Ovis aries: one gene and its partners. The protein of the gene in region 2 interacts with the protein of the main gene of each other region in a pairwise test. Links are inferred from orthologs where the notes say so. Each region holds a gene or a part of one and is shown on either strand. Other genes may lie near its edges.

Region 1 (4,178 bases), on a different chromosome or scaffold from region 2:
TCAGTACCTTGTAATAACCTATATTAGAAAATCATCAGAAAAAAATGTATCACCATGCTCTACTCCTGCAGCTAACACAGGATTGTAAATCAACTACACTTCAGTTTAAGAAAAAAAAGAGAGAGAGAAGTGATGAGACGGGTCTTCAAGTGATGCTAGTGAGTGATTTAGCCTTCCAGTTAGTTCTTTCCAGAAGGTTAAACATTTACTTGACACGGCTCAAATATTTTAGGAATATTCCTCTAGATACAGCTTTTAGAGTCACTATCAAAGACACACAAAGCAGGACCTATACTGTTTCGTGGTCTCTTAGCGAAATAACACAGCATCTGAATGACTGCAGATTTTTTACTTTCAGTTGGCCTGCTTCCTCCACCTCAGCTTCATAGACTATTAGATCTAGAAAGCTATCTCTAATCTCTGGAGCTGATGTTAGAGAGGATATCCACAACATATCATTTAAACCCCTGGGGAAGTAGCCCAGGGGGCCTGGCCAGGGAGGGCATAAGCAACCTTCTGATCGAAGGCTGACCCAGGAGATTTCATTCTTGGAGTTTCAGGTTCGTTCTCCTCTGTTCTGGGAAAATCCACGGAGATGAAGGGTGCCATCAGCTGTTAGTCTAGAGAGGGAGCTGGCCTCACTTATCATGAAGAAATGAATCTCTCTGGACTTCAGTGAAGGCAGAACAAACGCATCTAAGATTCAGCTGTTGCTGTTCTAGTAGAGAAAATACTGTGTAAGGATAGCAGTCTCCTAAGAATTACAGTCATTTGCTTACCTGATTCAGAGAGAGGTGGTCAATTTCAGAACTGTAGTCTTCATTTTCACTGTTAAACAAGATGATGAGAATTTAATTCTGTTTGTTATATCACTACATTCCCTGGGCAACATATTTTAATAACCAAACTAGCTTTGGGTAACACACATACATAGCCATTATTGTCATCTTTGAAAATTAAGGACTTCTATGCATACACATCCATACAGTAATTTGTACCTGATAATGTGAAATTAGTAATCATCAGACCAGGCCTTGAACTTTACTTGTACTCTATCGATAAAAATGAGGCTTGGACAATTTACTGTAGAGCACAGGTACTGTAACCTATAATGGAATATAATCTGAAATACATATATACATATATAACTGAATCACTTTGCTGTACACCTGAAACTAACACAACTTTGTAAGTCAGCCATACTTCAATTAAAAATTTTTTAAATTAGCTCCCCCTTCATCAAAACAAACAAATAAATGAGGCTTGGCTAACGGATTGAAGAGTGGTAACTGAATTTCAGGGAAAACATTTAAACTTCAGGGAGAATTCCTTTTGAAGCACTTCATCTAAATTTGAATCAAATAGGTTATTTGTTACACTTTGCTTTCATGTATTCATTAAAACAGATTTAATCATTATACTTTCCAAAACATGCAGGCAACACTTCCATTGTCTACTTTGTGTTAGCGTGTAGGTAATGTGGAACACTGCATCTGCTTAAGGTGTTCTATAAGTTAAACTTTTTATTATCTTTCTTTTGCGTCCGAATGAGACTGACTGCGTAGGTTTCACATGCTCAAATTGCTGTGAAGCCATTTCCCATTCCAGACTGAGGTCAAGAAGTTTTCCTAAGAAAGGTTTCTCTTTCTGACCATCTATTACTGTAGCAGGGCATGTGAATTTGACTGAAGCTGGGTCTAAGTAGATGTTGAGAACTGCTAGGAGTCAGGAGACCTTAAAAGTAATCTTTCTAAAATGGCCATCTCTCTGTCAAAAATTTCACCTTGGTTTACCTACTAGATGCTTAATTTCCCTGAGACTTCTCTGAATCTGCCCTGACTTCAGAGGTAGAACACATCTCTATAGCCTCTGCTGGTCTTGCCCCATTGATAGTTACTGTAATCCTAGCTGAATTCTTTCTTTTTTAAAAAATATTTATTTTGAGCACAGAGTCTTAGCCACTGGACTCCCTGGCAAATCCCTCCTAGCTGAATTCTAATGTGCCTTGCTTCCCTCATTAAGTCACAAGAGACAGAATCTCTTTCCTACCTGTAACAGTTCTTCAGGTCTTCAAAGAGGTCAGGGACTTTGGCCATCTTCACTTCTGCAACAGAAAACACCAGTAGCTGTCAGTCTGGCCATTGTGTGAACAAGACACCTGCAAGGGGAACCACCTCCCTTCTGCGCTTCTAAGACACTTAATGAATGAGTGAGCTCACACCCAGCATTCTTCTTTTCAATTCCTTTGAATGATCTGCCTATGTATTTGCCTCCCCTGCTAGACTGTAAGCTTCTGTTAGAATCTCAGTATCTCTTAGGCATCCAACCCAATGCATTGCATTTGGTAGGCATTTGATGAAAATTTGAATAAGTAAAAAACCAAAACCAAAGAACCCCAACAAGCATGAAATATTTAATTTATACAGTTGCAAGAGAGAGAAAGAGTTAGAAATTCCCAGTTTTCTCTGAATAGTTTTTGACAGCAGAGACTACCCCTAAAGGAAGGCTTGGCTGTAATCTCATGCTCTCATAGGAAACCAGTTCCTCTGTCGCTCAATTTCCCACCAGCAGAGAGAGAATCATTTTCTGAAATCTGACTATGATTCTAATTAACTCGCCAAACCAGAGAGGGACGGCAAAGGAACGAAGAGGCTTAAGCTTCAGAGAAGGCAATTTGAGAGATCACAGCCAAGGAGGAAAAGCAAAAAATATTATAAGAGCCAAAGATGCGATAAGGACGATACCTTTCCTGAACCGAGCTGGCAACAATGAGATGACTGGCTCCCTCGTCTTCGCGCGGAGGCTTGAACTGAGCCAGGCTCCTTCGCCTTTTGTCTGCTTCGGAGTGGGCGTGGCCACGATTGCGTCACTGGGAATTTACAAGATTTCTGTTTTGTATGTAAGTTCATTCGACCTATACCGGTCCAAATAATGACAAATTGTGTACTTGAATATAGTGTTTTCAGGAAAAATTCCTAGAGATTCCAGGAGTTTCTGACTTGATTCATTTATTTATTGCTTTTGCTGTTAACAATTTTAAACGTGTGGTCTTAGAAAAAGGGGAAAAGAGCAGGAAATTTAAATTTCTAAAAGTATTTGGTGGAGGAGGGAGGGAAAACCCAAAGCAGAATTGTAGATGGTTAGAGTTGGAGGGGTGCTTAGCAGCTTGTGTTTCGGCTTATTTCGTTTATTGCACCCCGGGGCTGAGTATGAATTGATGGAATACTTGACAGCCCCTGGCAGCTAAGGAGTGGCTCTTGAGGGAAGCCGATCCATCTTTTCTGCAGAGGTTTGCTTGAGTAGCCATAAATCACTCTGAGTGTGGGAAGGCAAGCTCCCAGTTAGGGCACGGTAGAAGACAGAAAATCGGCAGTCAACCACAAAAGTCAATCATTTTACTCCTCTGAATACTGTCAGTCTGTTTCAGACAGAAGTGACAGAGCTTTATGAGAAAACTCTATGCCCTGGCTCATGTTACAGCAAAGTTACCTTCTACCAGAGCCCAAAGAGAAGTCTAGTCTTCTCTAGGTTAAACCCAAGGTATATTAGGATAGCTGGAGACTCAGGGAGTAGCTGGATTCAAGAATGGAGATTGGGTGAACCTCCCTGGTGGTCCAGTGCTTAAGACTCCACGCTTCCACAGCAGGGGCCATGGGTTTGATCCCTGGTTGGGGAACTAAGATTATACATGCCGTACGGCATGGCCAAAAAAAAAGATTGGGAGAAAGGAAGAAGGGACTCATACATGAAACTGATTCAGTGTTGCCTGGCTGTTATCATCAAAGACTTTTTCAGTATTCCGAAGATGGCCCAATTCAGGTGGCAGGACACCAGACTCAGCAGATAAATGTCTTTGTTTTCCTGGTTGGAGTTTAAGCCACATAATTTTAAATAAAGGAAATGGATGGGGAGAGTCAAGGAGGAATTTTTTAAAAAATTTAAGAGAGAAAGACAAGGCACCAAAGTGCAACATGTTATTGAAAAGCACAAAAAGCTCAGAACCAGAAGTAAAGTGTGAGTAAGGTATGATGTTTGGTTTTGTTACTTGTAAATGATGAGGCTGATTTTGTGATCATCAAGGTCTGTCCTAGGTGCAAAGTCTCTGGTTCTGAATCTGTAGCCCAGTTCAGTTCCTCCTGGTCATAGATCTGGTGTTATAATAGTTATAAACAAGAGCC
Region 2 (4,255 bases):
TGTGTGGGTGAGGTGGGGAGGGGGGACCCCCAAATATATATCAGCCCAACAGCCCTAAGTCTCCTCCTTTATTATTAGGAAACAAAACAACAACAAAAAATGGCGTCATGAATATGAACAGCATTGTCAGATGAATTAGTTGAAGTGGTTTTTTTTTTTTTGTACTGTGTCCTCAAATTTAATGGATTAATGTGTCTTGTATATATAAAAAGAAAACCTCTACCTTCAGCCTCTGCCCATTCTTGCTCCGTCTAGGATGTCCTCAGTCTCGTCGATGACCAGCTTGGTGAATAAATATTACTGTACCAACTGGGCCTTCTCTAGCAGGCCCCGAAGGCGGTGGAATAAAAACGAAATCTTCGCCCTTTAAGAACTCCTCTGACCTTAATGTGCTGCCCTTGAGGGGATTCCCTCGCCCTCCCTCAAAAATTTCACAGTGGTGCCTGTAAAGAATCATTGCAAATGTTCATTTCCGTCATCTGTAGCAGATTGTAGGCAGTGAAGGGAGTGGGATAGCTGATACTGGGTGGAAAGGGAGAGGATTAACCAAGAACTGAAAGAAATCGCTTTGTATTGATAGAATCAAAGTTTAATTTAGATGGGTCCGTGCAAATGAACTGGAAAGAAATGAGTGCGAAATATGCACTGTTGGCTAGCAAAACTGAAGCAGTAGATCTTGCTGTTTGAGTGTTTTCATTTCACATAGCTAATATCCACACCCTTGAAGAGGAGGAGGCTGGAGCAAGGCCAGGTTTGGGAAGGAGGTGAGGGCACAGAGAGGGGGAGAGGCTTTGAAAGTCACTGATAGGCAAAAGGGGACACTTACACCTCCAAATTCTTCCTTCCCAAAACTTGACTAGATTTCCCTTGCGCTCTCACAAAGTTTATTCTGATGGTTGCAGAGCCTACGTTGGCAAACTACTTAATAGCTGGAGAGATGAAGTTAAATCCATGCATTCCTGTGTCTTTTACTCTGGGGATGTCATTATTAAAGTAGAAGGAGCTTGATACATTTTGTCCATTCCTCTAATACTAGACTTAAGTCAGGCGAGAAACAAACGATGAAAGAAGGGAGCGGGTGGGTTTAAGGCAGAACACTGGTCCGTGGGTGTGGTGAGTCTGCAATGAGGAAGGGTCTGGGTCCGGTTAATTTCTGTGGGTGGAGTGCCCTCTGGCGGCTGTCTCCAGTGCCATCAAGCGTCAAACCCTCGAAACCCTACTGGAGTGGGTTGGTCGGCCTAAAGAATTGGCTTAGAGGGCAAGTGTTCGTTGGGAAATAAAAACTCAGTACGCCCGCTCCCTTCACAGGAAGCAGGTGGGGGCAAAAGTGAAAGCCTTTAGAATTTGATAGGATCGCCCGCCCCGCCCCTCAGCGACGTCCGGCTTACGGTTGTTTTACGACAGTGTGCGATCGCATGCTTGCTTTCCGGCAGCGTGGTCTGACGCTTCGCTCAATTTCCGACAGCGTAGCTCTGGCTGCTACCCGCTGTGGGCTTCAAAGGTTCGAGTCCCACTACGGGAATGAGCCTTTTTGACCTCTTTCGGGGCTTTTTCGGCTTTTCTGGACCTCGGAGGTGAGAGCGGATTCCGGCCAGACACGGAGGGGCGGGAGTACTCGGAGGGGAGCTTGACCCTGGACACCCTATTTTTGGAAAAACATCCTTTTCTACCCTCCTAAAACTCCTGCGGGGAAAAAAAGGTCAACACTGAACACTCACCCCCCGACAGTAACCAGGGCGGTCGCTAAGAGAAGAAACAGCCGCTTAAGCTTTTCTCCAGTTTAGGGTGATGTAACAGGGGACCGGGTGGGGAAGACAATGGGCTCTGGAGTCGAGGACAAGTGAGCAAGACCTTGGGGGAGGGCAGGGGCTGGGAAACACTTAAGAAAAGCCGCAGGGAAGCGCTGGGGGCGGGGCGGGGTGGGGTGGGGCACCAGGTGAGGACTGACGTTGATGAAGCAAAACAAACCCGATGGCCAGTCCTCTACCCTCACTCCAGGCCCTCAGATCCCAACTCTTGTCCTACTCGTCGAGTCTTAGCTGATGCTATGGTTTAAGTGCTGAAATTTTGGTGGCTAATCTGCCTCCACCCCTAGCCACAGAGATCCCTTTTTTGGAGGAATGACTCGCGATGAAGACGAAGATGATGAGGAAGAGGAAGAAGAAGGAGTCACGTGGGGCCGTGGGAACTCGAGGTTTGAGGGTCCCCAGCCCCCTGAGGAATTTAGCTTTGGCTTCAGCTTCAGCCCGGGAGGAGGAATGCGTTTCCACGATAACTTCGGCTTTGATGACCTAGTACGGGATTTCAACAACATCTTCAGCGAGATGGGGGCCTGGACCTTGCCTTCCCGCCCTCCTGGTGTGTGGATGCTCCTGGGGAAGAACCTGTGGTTTCTACTGGGTCGGTGGGTGAAAAAAAAAGACTTGCAGAGAGTAGTTGGGGGTGTTGGGAAGTGTGAGAAAGCTGATGATTTCAAGGAGATTTAAAAGAGCCCAAGTCCTTTCCTACTCCCAGCATCCACCTGCCACCTTTCTGCAGAACTTCCAGGTCCTGAGTCAGAGACACCTGGTGAGAGACGGCAGGAAGGACAGACGCTTCGGGACTCAATGCTTAAGTATCCAGATAGTCACCAGCCCAAGATCTTTGGTGGGGGCTTGGAGAGTGATGCAAGATCTGAATCCCCCAAACCAGCACCAGACTGGGGCCCCCAGAGACCTTTTCATAGGGTGAGTACATCTGGGCCTGAAGTGGGAGCTGTGGAGAAGACTGCAAAGACTGGAAACCTTGCTGGAATCTAACAGACTTGGGTTGTATTTGTCTGTTTTCTATATTAAGCTTTGTGTAGGATTTTCTTTGGGAGGAAATGGGAGTTCTGCTTTTTGTTAAAAATTACTGTAGACGATGCTTGGAGAAAGCAGAAATGTTTGAAGGAGGACAGAAAAGTGTCAGTTCAGGAATGCTTTTTTGGTAGAGAAATACATGAATCAGGTAGGAAGGAGGGGGAGTGAGTAAAGAAAGCCATCCTGCTGGGATCATTTCTCCTGAAAAAAAAAAAAAAAAGTAGTTTTGGAACTTGGAAATAGGCTGGGTTCTGGGGCCCCTCAAACTTCAGATTGAAAGGTGTCATTTGACCTACTTTGGCTTCTTCTACAGTTCGATGATACGTGGCCTGTGACCCCCCACTCTAGAGCCAGAGAAGACAATGGTAAGTCTGGAGGGAGAGGACATTTACCAGCCCTTTGGTGTCCCTCCCTGAAATTTCTGTCTGCCACATTTGTCCCCTTCTTCGCTTTGGACTCTTTCTTGTTTCCTTTCTGTGCCCTTCTAGATCTTGATTCCCAGGTTTCTCAGGAGGGTCTTGGCCCAGTTCTGCAGCCCCAACCCAAAACCTATTTCAAGAGTGTCTCTGTGACCAAGATCACTAAGCCAGATGGGGTGAGTTGGGAGAGATGGGTAAAGGCAGCTGTGACCAGAGAATGTTCTGGAAAGGGGGACTATGTAAAGAAACAAGTGAACCCACCTTTAGTGATGTTAGGGATATGGTGGGGGGACTTCTTCTTGTAGACTATAGAGGAGCGCCGGACTGTGGTGGACAGCGAGGGCCGGAAAGAGACCACAGTAACCCATCAAGAGGCAGGCGGCAGTCCTAGAGATGGTAAGTGAAGAGTATAAATCAAAGGGATCCATCTCTTAGTTCCATGGGAAAGGGAAACTGTTGCTCTCCTACCATTAAACATTGCTGCCCTCCTTTGCCTCTTTCCAGTCTCCTTCATTTAGCCTGTGTGTATCACTCTTTCCCTTAGGTCCAGAATCACCAACACCTCCATCCTTGGATGATTCCTCTTCCATCCTGGATTTGTTCCTAGGACGTTGGTTCCGGTCCCGGTAGCCTTGTTAATTAATCACAGAGACCTTTAGATTCTTTCCACTTCCCACCCTTTGCTTGGTATTAATGGGCTTAGTTGTCTTCCTGCCACCTCAGGACCTTGGGTGTGTGGAACAGTGAATTGAAGGTCTGTCAGTGTGTCAGTCACCCAAACTGACCAATAAAACCTTTATTTATGCTAATTCTTTGGTCTTGGTTTTGTCGTGGCTATTCCACTTTCTCACAGTATCCAGGGCTTCCCAAATTAACTTGGCCCACAAAAGATTAGCTCTTTGCTTTACTTGCAAAACTGATTCTGATAAGTAAGGACCAGGTACCTTTAGGAAATGATTTTCCTTGTTAATAAATAACTAGTGATAGTTCCAGGGA
Region 3 (4,195 bases), on a different chromosome or scaffold from region 2:
AGATGGTTCCTATCTTAGGGAAAGAAAGCACTTTCCATTGTCAAAGCCTCAATTTGGTCACTAGAGGTGGATCCCATCTTATTTCTCAAATGTTATCCTGATCATTTTGCACCTTTGCTAAGTTAAATAGAAGAAAGCAGGGTTTCTTTTAGATTAAAAATCCCAGGTCTTGACCTTTAGTGCTCAAAATTCTCAAAAACAAAAACAGAAAGAAATCTAAAATAGGAGTATTTAACTCTATGAAAGAAATTTTCACATACTGAGGTCTGAAGAAGTCACTCTGGATTGCACACAAGTTTTTACCTTAGCTAAAATGCCCTGTTTGTGGATTATCCAACACATAGTGTACATCTGCTTTATTAACAGGCTCATTAACTTAGAAGTAATCTGGTGACTGGGCAACTAACACTTAACAAGGCTGTCCATGATAAAGACAAAAATTCAATGTCTCCCTTCCTGGGATGCCAATGCTTTTACTGCTTCAGGGATGACTCCCTTTCCACGTACCAAGGCAATAATAACTTCGTGTGTTCCAAACTGATTTTTTTTTTTTGAAACCTTGAAGGAATATATTCCTGACTTATTGAATGTTTTGTTCTGACAAAACTATGCTGAAAACCATGCTTCCCCTCAGGATGTCCTCAGAGTTACCTGAGAAGCTGTCTTCTGGACTTGTATTTCCCAGTTCGGCTCAAATAAAACTCTTTTGTATTCCCATGAGAGGTTATTTTTTTTCCATTGACAACTCCATATTTCCAAGAGGAAATATATGGTGGATAATGATAGTGATAAATAAATCACGCTAATATCAAATTTATCTTGCATCACAGATAACAGAAACACCACTTCGGCTTCTTCCTCCGTGTTTTCCTTTATCAGAAAGACGCACACTCCCTGGCACTAACGGGGTGTTTTCAACAAAAAGATCTAGATTTCTTTGGCTGCAGCATTAGCGTAAGGGTGGCGTTCCTTCGACTCTACAGGCGTTCTGTGCTATTACGGGCTTGAATTTACCAGCCCCCAAAACTCCAAGAGGGACGTCCTCTTTCGTGGCCGAGGACGCGAATGCATCTTGGGGGCATTACCAGCTCCCTCAAGGTCCTGAGAGAAAAATCTGCGGGTAGAGGAGGTTCCTCTGCAGGAGCGCGCCACGGCCTCCTGCGCTCAGTCTGGCACGTTTCGTCCAAAGTGCCCACCAGACCTGCTCCTCGCCGAGCGGGAGTGAAAGCAGCCGCTCCTCCTCCTGAAGACGCTGGGACGACCCGTTAGCTGAGAGGGCGGCCCCGCGTCCTCTGGCCCGAGCCACGCCCAGGAGCGGGTGGGGGAGGGGCGGCGGCGCTCGCGCTGCGTCGAGTTTCCCAGAATTCCCAGCGGCCGCAGGGAAAGTTTACGGGACGTAGGCGGCGACAGCGGCGGCAGCAGTAGCGGTTACTAGGTGGTCAGCAGCGGACCATGGCCCTGGCCGGGCGTTCCTGGCTCTTCTCTCGGAGTCCTCGGGCAACGACGCGGAGCCGGCAGACTTCCGGGAAGGAACTGACAAGCGACTGAGCGGTGACCGGCGCGCTTAGCGCCCCGAACATGCGGCAGTCCTTGTGGGCAACCCCGGGCTGCGGAGAGGCGGCGGCGGCGGCGGCGGCTCGGGAGGGAAGGAGGCGGCGACGCCGGCGGAGGTGGCGGCGGGGACACCCGGCGCCCGGCGCGGAGCCTTAGGGCGGCTGCTTGGCGTGGCCTGGGGCCTCGTGGTCAAGGATGCTGTCCCGGAAGAAAACCAAAAACGAAGTGTCCAAGCCGGCCGAGGTGCAGGGGAAGTACGTGAAGAAGGAGACGTCGCCTCTGCTGCGGAGTGAGTGTCGGGCGGGGTGCGCCCACACCTGGCCTGGGCGGCCGCGGGGGACCCGGGCTGGGTGTCCGACGCCGCTCCCCGCGGCTTCTCTTTCCTTTTGGCCTCTGTGATTTTTTTTTTTTTTTAATGCCTGGAGTGATGTTCGTTGTTTGAAAGCTGATAAAGAGTAAAAAACTTAAGTTAGTCCACCTCTGTTCCCACCCCCCGCCCCCTGTCCCGCCCGTCAAAATCCACAGACTTCCCTTCTTGAAACTATGTTGTTGGTTTTGATTACTGGAAGAAAGATATTCTTTAGGAAACAAATTGCTCATCCGCTGGTTCTGTAGGAATTAAAGGGATTACACTGGGGCACGTTTTCCTCTTGTGACGTCTAGATTTGCATTGTGTTTGCAAACACTGTGGGTGTCACTTGCTCTGCTCGTAGTTGTGCGAACGCTTGAGTAGAATTCTTAGTCCAGCTATTGGATGATGACGTCCGGAGGTGAAAGCTGACCGTCGCTATTGTAGCTGCTGCCCAAAAAGCCTCCTCAGTTGTAGATCTCAGGGTTGAAGAGCCAAAATTATATGTGTTTGGCTGTGTTCATGAGAATTTCTTCAAATAAAACCTCCTAGAAATCCGCCAAAGACTCAAAATAATTTCCATCATACTTTGGGGAAAATTACGAAAAAAGTTGTGTGTGTGGTTATAAACATTTTTTAATAGAGTGCATTTCGCTGGCACTTTATCTTCAATTTAAGTATTTGACTCTAATTTTCCTCCTGAATCTTTTACGTTTTTAATTCTTGCTTATGTGTTCAGAACATTTGTGAGGTAAGGAGCAAGTTTTTTGGTGTTCATACTAAATGCTGGGTCCTTTGTTAAGTTTCCTTCTTGGAAGCTGGTGACTTTGTGACTTAAGCATTACCTCATATTGTAATTGGGAAAGCTTTTCATAGAGGTTCCTGGTAATATTTGCCCAAGATCACACAAAAAGGGGTGGAGAGCATGTTTTCCCATTATAACCACATCATCAACCTTCCAGATTTATCCTTGTATTTGCAATGCTTTCTTACAGAACAGATCAGATGGGTACATCAGTAACCTGAAACTTGATTTTTAAAAACTTTTTTTAATAGTTTATTTTTCATTTACATATTCTCTTAGGATTTTGGCCAAGTTTAGGTTAGCTTGCAGTTAGCTTCAGATAACAGTGTTATTCAACATTCCTTAAAATCATGAAATATGTTTGCCACACCTTTTAGCAAATAACTTTTGATATATAGTATTTTGTTTTAGTTTCATCAAATGTTGAACCTTGTTTATTCGGTTACTAATTTTTGTGTGTTTGGCTTCTGTTGCATATTAATATGCGTGCCCTCTGATACTGTCTACTTAGTGAACTAATAAAATGGTCTCCAGATCCAGTTTTCTTCTTGTTTTAAAGGTGTTTGCTTTCTAACCAGGAATGCTTAAGGTATTTATTTAAGTTTTATATTCAGAAGTACTGTACCCTTAAAGCCATTGCCCTGTTTTCTTCTGTTTTGAATTGTAATTGTTCTTAATTGTTTTGAATTGTAATGGTTTTAGACTTGGCGTTTTTTGTTTGTTTGTTTGTTTTTGAACTGATTCAACATTTGTGTGTCTCTTTGAAATGAGATTTAAAAAAAATTTTAATTTTCATAGCTTAATTTTTAGTTTTTCCATCTTTTGAGTATTGTACTATTGCTACGTAATTCCAAGAGTAGGAATGCCAGGTTAATAATTTTTAAATTTTTTTTTAAGGAATTCGCCTTTACATGTTTGAGAATAGCATTATGATCTGTTTCATTTTTTAAATTGTGTTTTACTTAAAGAAGAGTTTGGGAATGAAGTACAATCTGCAAAACAAACTAATGTTAAATTATGCTGGTAACTGTATTCATTTGTTAGATTGTTTACTATTTTTATACATTTATTCATGAGCATTAATACATATTTTGTAGTTAAACTTACTGATGTTTCATTATATTATGTTTGGTAGTATGCAGAATATGTTTGAATCTGGTAGAGCATACTTATAACACATTCATACAAATTATAAATTCATTTGAGTGGGAATATGGCAATCAGCCTCAATTTAAAATACCCAGATACTTTGCTAAAGTTTCTGATTGTGTTTTCTTAAGTCCATTGAAATTTTTCATTTTGGGGTAAGATGTAAATAAACAACTTTGGAAAAGCATATTACTTACTAGTCATTTTATTCTTTTGTTTTATTATAGATCTTATGCCTTCTTTTATCCGGCACGGTCCAACAATTCCAAGACGAACTGATATCTGTCTTCCAGATTCAAGCGCTAATGCCTTTTCAGCTTCTGGAGATGGAATAGTTT

The links. The genes of interacting proteins can lie anywhere in the genome.
Region 1: the proteins of HAX1 (region 2) and IL1A interact in binary tests that used the Homo sapiens proteins (3 or more experiments, as listed by UniProt). The link is inferred for Ovis aries from reciprocal best matches to the Homo sapiens genes HAX1 and IL1A.
Region 3: the proteins of HAX1 (region 2) and SAV1 interact in binary tests that used the Homo sapiens proteins (3 or more experiments, as listed by UniProt). The link is inferred for Ovis aries from reciprocal best matches to the Homo sapiens genes HAX1 and SAV1.

Annotation. Positions count from the first base shown.
Region 1 is NC_056056.1:60,201,650-60,205,827, reverse strand, and holds the start of IL1A (interleukin-1 alpha), read right to left. Parts: upstream 2,807-4,178; 5' UTR 2,745-2,806; intron 2,105-2,744; 5' UTR 2,097-2,104; coding exon 2,050-2,096; intron 829-2,049; coding exon 780-828; intron 1-779. UniProt on the Homo sapiens protein: Cytokine constitutively present intracellularly in nearly all resting non-hematopoietic cells that plays an important role in inflammation and bridges the innate and adaptive immune systems.
Region 2 is NC_056054.1:104,558,252-104,562,506, forward strand, and holds HAX1 (HCLS1-associated protein X-1), read left to right. Parts: upstream 1-1,453; 5' UTR 1,454-1,521; coding exon 1,522-1,574; intron 1,575-2,095; coding exon 2,096-2,400; intron 2,401-2,538; coding exon 2,539-2,726; intron 2,727-3,153; coding exon 3,154-3,205; intron 3,206-3,328; coding exon 3,329-3,435; intron 3,436-3,564; coding exon 3,565-3,655; intron 3,656-3,803; coding exon 3,804-3,889; 3' UTR 3,890-4,068; downstream 4,069-4,255. UniProt on the Homo sapiens protein: Recruits the Arp2/3 complex to the cell cortex and regulates reorganization of the cortical actin cytoskeleton via its interaction with KCNC3 and the Arp2/3 complex. Slows down the rate of inactivation of KCNC3 channels. Promotes GNA13-mediated cell migration.
Region 3 is NC_056060.1:41,781,293-41,785,487, reverse strand, and holds the start of SAV1 (protein salvador homolog 1), read left to right. Parts: upstream 1-1,389; 5' UTR 1,390-1,749; coding exon 1,750-1,843; intron 1,844-4,084; coding exon 4,085-4,195. UniProt on the Homo sapiens protein: Regulator of STK3/MST2 and STK4/MST1 in the Hippo signaling pathway which plays a pivotal role in organ size control and tumor suppression by restricting proliferation and promoting apoptosis.